2 linked regions of the Macaca mulatta genome follow. The protein of the gene in region 2 interacts with the protein of the main gene of each other region in a biochemical or structural test. Links are inferred from orthologs where the notes say so. Each region holds a gene or a part of one and is shown on either strand. Other genes may lie near its edges.

What was found.
Region 1: the proteins of KDR (region 2) and SHC2 form a complex in vitro, tested with the Homo sapiens proteins (2 studies listed by BioGRID). The link is inferred for Macaca mulatta from reciprocal best matches to the Homo sapiens genes KDR and SHC2.

What each region holds. Positions count from the first base shown.
Region 1 is NC_133424.1:1,068,113-1,072,193, reverse strand, and holds part of SHC2 (SHC-transforming protein 2), read left to right. Parts: intron 1-3,035; coding exon 3,036-3,164; 3' UTR 3,165-3,169; intron 3,170-4,081. UniProt on the Homo sapiens protein: Signaling adapter that couples activated growth factor receptors to signaling pathway in neurons. Involved in the signal transduction pathways of neurotrophin-activated Trk receptors in cortical neurons.
Region 2 is NC_133410.1:78,388,650-78,392,730, reverse strand, and holds part of KDR (vascular endothelial growth factor receptor 2), read right to left. Parts: intron 2,181-4,081; coding exon 2,066-2,180; intron 1,979-2,065; coding exon 1,815-1,978; intron 1-1,814. UniProt on the Homo sapiens protein: Tyrosine-protein kinase that acts as a cell-surface receptor for VEGFA, VEGFC and VEGFD. Plays an essential role in the regulation of angiogenesis, vascular development, vascular permeability, and embryonic hematopoiesis.

The DNA of each region.
Region 1 (4,081 bases), on a different chromosome or scaffold from region 2:
GTGGGAGGGTCTGGGGGCATCCAGGGGCTTAGCTGGGCCCAGGTGGGAGGGTCTGGAGGCATCCAGGGGCTTAGCTGGGCCCAGGTGGGAGGGTCTGGAGGCATCCAGGGGCTTAGCTGGGCCCAGGTGGGAGGGTCTGGGGGCCGAGGGTGTGGTAAGCTGGGCCCAGGTGGGAGGGTCTCGGGGCATCCGGGGGCTTAGCTGGGCCCAGGTGGGAGGGTCTCGGGCCCGAGGGCGTGGTAAGCTGGGCCCAGGTGGGAGGGTCTGGGGGCATCCGGGGGCTTAGCTGGGCCCAGGTGGGAGGGTCTCGGGCCTGAGGGTGTGGTAAGCTGGGCACAGGTGGGAGGGTCTGGGGGCCGAGGGGGTGGCAAGCTGGGCACAGGTGGGAGGGTCTGGGGGCATCCGGGGGCTTAGCTGGGCCCAGGTGGGAGGGTCTCGGGCCTGAGGGTGTGGTAAGCTGGGCACAGGTGGGAGGGTCTTGGGGCCGAGGGGGTGGCAAGCTGGGCACAGGTGGGAGGGTCTGGGGGCATCCAGGGGCTTAGCTGGGCCCAGGTGGGAGGGTCTGAGGGCATCCAGGGGCTTAGCTGGGCCCAGGTGGGAGGGTCTGGGGGCATCCAGGGGCTTAGCTGGGCCCAGGTGGGAGGGTCTCGGGCCCGGGGGCATCCAGGGGCCATCCGTGTTTATGAAGCTTTTCCAGATTGTTGCAGATGTTGTGTTTGACCAGCTACCATAGAATTGCAAAGTATCTTCCAGTGTATTTTTGAGACAGAGTCTGGCTCTGTCACCCAGGCTTGTGTGTAGTGGCAGGATCATGGCTCTCTGCAGCCTCGAACTCCTGGGCTCAGGCGGTCCCCCTGGCTCAGCCTCCTGAGTAGCCGGGACTACAGGTGGGAGCCACCGTCCCCAGCTAAGTCTGTGTAGAGATGGGGCCTTGCTGTGTTGCCCAGGCTGGTCCCGAGCTACTGGCCTCACGTGATCCTCCTGACTTGTTTTCCCAATCGTAATCCCAATCGTACGATTTCATCCATCATAAGATGCCCCCCCCATATATCATGACGTACGCACCTTACAAATGGTGATGTATTTGAGGGATAAATATGGTATTTTCAGGTTCTAATTTATTTGAGGGTGTACAAAGCACTTCTCAATTTACAAGGAATTTTGGGATCAAGTTACTGAATTACTTCAATTCTTCCCTCCCTTTCTTTCTCTCTCTTTTTTTTTTTTTGATGGAGTCTCACACTGTTGCCCTGGCTGGAGTGTAGTGGCACAATCTCAGCTCATTGCAACCTCCGCCTCCAGGGTTCAAGCGATTCTCCCGCCTCAGCCTCCTGAGTAGCCGGGATTAAAGGCTCCCACCACCACACCTGGCTAATTTTTCGTATTTTTTTAGTAGAGACGGGGTTTCACGACGTTGGCCAGGCTGGTCTCGAACTCCTGACCTCGTGATCCGCCCGCCTCGGCCTCCCAAAGTGCTGGGATTACAGGCATGAGCCACCGCGCCTGGCCTAATTGCTTCAATGCTGAGAGACACTCTCCCCGCCCCAGTTTTGACGTCTCTGGAGTCTGGATTTTGTTTTTTTTTTTTTTTTTTTTTTTTGAGACGGAGTCTCGCTCTGTTGCCCAGGCTGGAGTGCAGTGGCGCGATCTCAGCTCACTGCAAGCTCTGCCTCCTGGGTTCACGCCATTCTCCTGCCTCAGCCTCCTGAGTAGCTGGGACTACAGGCGCCCGCCACCGCGCCCGGCTAATTTTTTGTATTTTTAGTAGAGACGGGGTTTCACCGTGGTCTCGATCTCCTGACCTTGTGATCCACCCGCCTCGGCCTCCCAAAGTGCTGGGATTACAGGCGTGAGCCACCGCGCCCGGCTGGATTTTGTTTTAAAACCATCGATTGCATACTTGAACTGCATCATTATTTAACAGCGAGGTTTTTCTCCTCTGTCTGCTCCTGGTACCTGAAATCGTGGTGCATCTTACAGTTGCTCTGGGCCAGTGGGATTTAGTAATCTCCAGCTTCTAAAGCGTTTTAGGGTTTACAAAGCATTTTCCGATTTACAAGGAGTTCTAGGGTTTATGAAGCATTTTGAGCGTCTGAGGGCTACACAGGTTATTTCTTAGGTGAGGAGGTGCTGGAGGGTTCGGAGGCCTCTCAGACTGCAGGAGGCATTTTCAGCCGTCCGGCCGAACCCTCAGAGTGGCTCTTGGGCTGGTGCGAGCCTGGTCTCCGCGTGAAGCACACTGTGGGGGGCAGGGGTGGCACTTGTGCACCCCAGCCTGGGACAAAGCTGGAGAGGGGCAGAGCTTGGGCGAGAGGCGCCTATTCTCCCAGTTCCCGAGCCCCCTCAGACTGTTTCCGGTCCCCCCGCCGCCGCCTAGCCTCTAGCCTGGTGGGTGATGCCTCTGCTCTTTCCCAGGCCAGATTCCCTCTGTTAAATGGATCCCTGGGGTCAGACTGGCAGCCCCTAGACCTGGGGAAGCTTCAGAACGTCTACCAGTACCTTGTCGAAAGGCAGATTCCCAGCTCCTATTCCCAGTGCCATGGAAGGAGATAATTTTGCCGCAGGCCTAGGAATGTGCATTTGCCCCTGTTCCCCACGTGAAATGTGCACAGGGCCCCCAGCCTCACCCACGAACTCAGAGCAGCCGGGGACACGTCACCCATGATCTCAGAGCAGCCGGGGACACGTCACCTCCTGGGTGCTGCTCGGTCCCAGGCCCCTCCCGGCGCCCGCTGGTGGCCGCCTCCCGGGTGCTGCCGGGTTTGCGGACACACGGCTCCAATCTCTCATGGGGTCACCCTTCAGCCCCCAACAGGACGCGTGGCCCCAGAACCCGGCGGTTTCAGAGCCCGTGCCCACGTGTGGTTCTGGGATTCTGAGGCCGATCCTGTGGCTGGCGTCCCAGAATTCCCTGGTCCGGACACTCATCCACGCAGGCACCCTAGGGGCTCCCCGACAGGACCCCAGATCGCCGATCTCTGACTCCACGGGTCCAGGCCGGCTCCCGGGAGCTGATACCGAGGTCTGTCCTGCAGGTGCGGACGAAGGACGTGCTGTTTGAGAGCATCAGCCACCTGATCGACCACCACCTGCAGAACGGGCAGCCCATCGTGGCCGCCGAGAGCGAGCTGCACCTGCGCGGCGTCGTCTCCCGGGAGCCCTGAGCCAGGTGTGTGGCTGCCGCCGTGGGCCGCCGGCCTCGTCCCCTTTACCCGATTCTTTTCTAATTTGAAATTTGAGACCCGGTTCACATGCCGTGCCTTTCCCTCTAGAGGGCACGACTCAGGGGTGTTCAGCATCCAAGCTGTGCAACCATCTCTGTCGAGTTCCAGAACATTCTATCAGCCCCGAAAGGTGCCCTGTCCCCACCAGCCATCGCTCCCTGTCCCCTCCCCAGCCCCAACCCCCATACATCCGCCTCCTGTCTCCGTGGATGGGCCTGTCCCGGACATTTTCTAGAAATGGGATCACACGGTGTGGCCTTCTGGGTCTGGCGTCTCTCACGGAGCGTGACGTCCTCAAGGTGCCTGGTGCTGTGGCCTGGGTCAGAGCTTGGCTCCTGTTCACGGCTGGGTAATGTCCCACTGTGTGACGGGGCCACATTGTGTTTGTTCATCCGCTGATGGACGTTTTGGCCACCGTGAGCCTTTGTGTACAGGTTGTATGTGGACACGCGTCACTGGCCGTGGTGGGCACGTGCCCCAGAGTGGCCCTGTGCAGCCATGATGGTAACTGTGCAGCTGTGATTGGCTGGGATGGATGTCACCTGGTCTTTATGGACCCCTGCTGCGTGCTGGGTGTCCAGGCCTCCTTCCCGGAGAGGACGGTGGGCTGGGACAGGCAGGGGCTGGTGTGTGAACCCAGGCAGTGAGAAGCCCACACCTCAGGCCGGGCCGCAGAGCCCTGGGCCTCTACTTTTGGTGCGGGGCTGGGGGGAACCCGTGGCGGGGCATCGACGGGGGAGGGACAGGCAGGTCTGGGTGATTTCAGGGTCTCTCCTCTGGGGTGAGGTCGGGGCAGGAGAGGGTGCAGCTGTGGGGCTGGAGGGAGTGGAGGCTAAGAGCGGCGGGGGAGGAGGGAG
Region 2 (4,081 bases):
CTTCTGAACCCAAACACGTAAACCACCTCATGTTAAAGGAAGGCATAAATCTTTAGAGAATGCATTACTGCCACCACCATCTGAGTCTTTCATTCCCTCTCCCTCTTCCTCCCTCCCTCCCTCTCCACTCCCTTTCCCTCTTCCCCTTTCTTCCTTCTCCCTTCTCTCACTTCCTTCTTTCTTCTCTCCCTTTTTCCTTTCTTTCTTTTTTGACTCCAAAGTCAAAACTATTTCGTTACTACTGTCAACTTAAAGCCTCAGGTTATGCTTTCAAGACTTGACTTCTTTTTTATGTTTATTTCACATAGCAGAGTATATGCTAAAGTGAATAGAATATTTAGTGGCTTCATGAACTGATGAAATGGGCTATTTGCTGTCCATGTTTTGTTTTTATTTCCCGTTCATTTTCTCCTCCCATCCTACTTATACACTTTCCAGTTTCTCCTCTCCCCAGTCCCCTACACCTATGCTGCTTCTGAACAACCTCTGTGGAACCTGTTATCTTGTTTTTTTTTTTTTTTTGAGACGGAGTTTTGCTCTTGTCGCCCAGGCTGGAGTACAATCTCAGCTCACTGCAACCTCCACCTCCTGGGTTCAAGTGATTCTCCTGCCTCAGCCTCCCAAGTAGCTGGGATTACAGGCGCCCACCATCATGCCTGGCTAATTTTTGCATTTTTAGTAGAGACGGGATTTCATCACGTTGGCCAGGCTGATCTCAAACTTCTGACCTCAGGTGATCCATCCGCCTCGGCCTCCCAAAGTGCTGGGATTACGAATGCGAACCACCATGCCCAACCTATCTTTAAAATATTCCCTGAAAAAAAAAATAACGCCAAGTTCAGCAGCCTACAGAAGAGTATTAGGACACATAGGGAAGCACCTTAATGCCATGGGAAAATATCCTGAAGTTTTAATATGCCATACCAGAAGGGGGAACAAAGAATTACAACAGAGAAGCATTTCTCAAACTGTTTGGAGTGAGAGATTAATGAATTTGCTCAGGGGAAAAACGATGCTCCAGTCAAATAGGTTTGTTAAACCTTGAATACTCTATGTCTCTCCCCCTAGAGAATACCAATATACATTAGTATATAAAAGGTTCTGAGAAGTCCCTGTAATAAAGAAACCTGTTACACATCTACACATCACCTTAGCACCTCACACTCACTTGACCATGGCACCCTTCTCACCATTCCATTCCAAACACTTATTTGTACCTTTCAGTTTCAGAAAACAAAGTTCAAATCATCTTTAAATCAAAAACGTACTATTTTGCCTTTACAGACTCAAAATCAGACCCTGAACTCCTGTCAAAAAGGAAAAAAAAAGCCCCCAACCAAGCCAACAATGCCAACTTCAAAAGCCTTCAGAGTAGGAATCTGCCTGTACCTCACTGATACATCAACTATAATATCAAACTAGAAGCTTTGCACAAAATCTAAGGAGAAGGGTCTTACACATCTGTGTGCCAGGTGGGCAATTCCATGAGAGGGGAACATTGTAGTATAACTTAACTTGACAACTATCCCTGTGGGCATTATTTTTTCACAACATTTAAACTATCGAGGGTATCACTACTTTAATCTTGCATTTGACCACCACAAAGCTCATTTACATGGCCTCTTAAACAAACATGGCCAGAGCACACAGTCCTACATTTCACTTCAGCTTCACCACCCCAGATGACTTTTGTACATAGGCCCGGCCATGATGTGAGTGAAGCAGCTGGAGGCAGAGGAATGGTGGCCTGGCTGATTAGGAAGACAATGTATCATAATAAATCTTGGGCAGAGAGGAAAACTGAATGGACTCACCATACACAACCAGAGAGACCACGTGACTCTGCTTCTCCTTTGAAATGGGATTGGTAAGGATGACAGTGTAATTTCCTGTGTCTCTTTCGCTCACTTCCATGATCGTCAGTACGTGCCCCACTTTAACTGTGTGATTGGACTCAAGGGGTATTCCATTTTTATACCTATGAAAAAGAATTCTCAGGAATTAGTACAGTCGAAGGATTTGCTCTCACATGAAATGATGCTTTGTGTTTATTTCTAGTAGTTACCATTTTATTTCTGGGGGCGGGTAACCAAGGTACTTCACAGGGATTCTGACACGCTCCCCCACCGTGGCTTCCACCAGAGATTCCATGCCACTTCCAAAAGCAACAAAAGGTTTTTCTGCAAGAAATTTTTTTTTAAAGGTCAGCTTATTGTAAATGGTCGTTTGGTTTAGTTTTTCATTTCAAGTGAAACATCAAAAACATTGAGGGTCTGAGTAGCTGCAGTTCCAAGATTCCATGTACTACCTTTTAGTGGGTCACATTTCAGCTTCTCCCACACCTCCCGTGTTTCTCCCACACCTCCTGTGCTTGCATTTGCTTTTCTCTCCCCACTAGTGCACTCCCATAAGCCTAGTGATTGCTCAAGTCTCAACTCAAACACTTGCTCCTCTGTGCAGCTTTCTCTAAGTCCCCCAGAGATGCTTGGGTGCTCCTTCTCCTCTGCTCCCAAGACACACTCCACACACCTCTTCCACCATGTGTTAATAGGCCCGAGGACTCAGTCTTCAGACGTCCTCTTTATTTACACCTTCCTCTAGCCTCAAGTTTAAAGTAGCATTCACATACCTCCTAAATATGTGCCTTCTGCCCTGACTCCTCTGGGTTCCAGGTTGATATATTAAACATTTCCACTTGGATGTTTCATAGGCATCTCCAGAGAAACATATCTAACACTGTTTCCCTAAATTTCACTGCCTCCTCGATCTTTGCCATCTCAGTAAATACCACCACCATTTACTCAGTTGCTCATGCTAACACTTGGGTCATCTTCCACTCTTTTTCCCTTATACTCCACAACCAGTGAATTGATCAGCAGACCCTGTTGACTCTACCTTTGAAATATATCCAGAAGCAGATCACTTCTCACTATCTCTACCTCAACTACCCTTGTCCAAGCCACTCCTCAACTCTCACCTGGATAAACGTAATTAGCCTCCCAACTAACCTCCTTGTTTCTGCCCCTATTTCCCTGAAGTATCCTGGAGAACAAGAGTACTTCTATCAAAACATAAGCCAGAGCACGTCTCTCTCTGTGTATTTTGGCAAGTGCATCTTGGCAAGTGAAATAATTTGAATAAATTTAGGACACTTAGTGATTTCTATTTTGTTCATTCAGAAGAAACTTTCAAGTTCTTGCTAGGGAGGCCACATGACCTAGAGGTCAAGAGCATAGCTTTGTAGTCAGGAACTTGAGTTCCAATCTCAACTACTAAGATGAGATGAGCTAATAAAGTAAGGGCTCACTAAATCATACTTGTTGTAGTTGTTGCCACTTTTATGATTACAACTCTAATAAATAGTATTATCTAAGGTATTTTTACAATTCCACTTTACTGATGCATTCTCATGATATAAAATCCAAAATCCTTTCCAAGGCTTATAAGTAGGATGCCACACAAATTACCATGTAAACTCAGACATTTATGTAAATGAAAGAGAATTAACAAAAAATTAAGGTGATTTACTCAAAGCCAGTTCAATTTAATTCCAGTTCAATTACAGTTGACCCTTAAACAACATAAATTTGAACTACATGAGTCCACTTATAAGCAGATTTTCTTCCACCTCTGTCACCCCTGAGACAGCAAAACCACTGCCTTCTCTTCCCACTTTTCCTCAGCCTTCTCAATGTGAAGACAAGGATGGAGACCTTTATGATGATCCACTTACACTTAATGAGCAGTAAATATATTTTCTCTTCCTTATGATCTTCTTAATAACATTTTCTTTTCTCTAGCTTTATTATAAGAATACGGTATATAATACATATAACATATGAAATATGTGTTAATTGACTGTTTATGTAGCAGTAAGGCTTCCAGTCAACAGTAGGTCATTATTTACATTTTGTGGAAGTCAAAAGTTATACCTTGAATTTTTTTTTTTTTTTTTTTTTGAGAAGGCGTTTTGCTCTTGTTGCCCAGGCTGGGGTGCAATGGCACAATCTCGGCTCACTGCAACCTCCGCCTCCTGGGTTCAAGCAATTCTTCTGCCTCAGCCTCCTGAGTAGCTGGGATT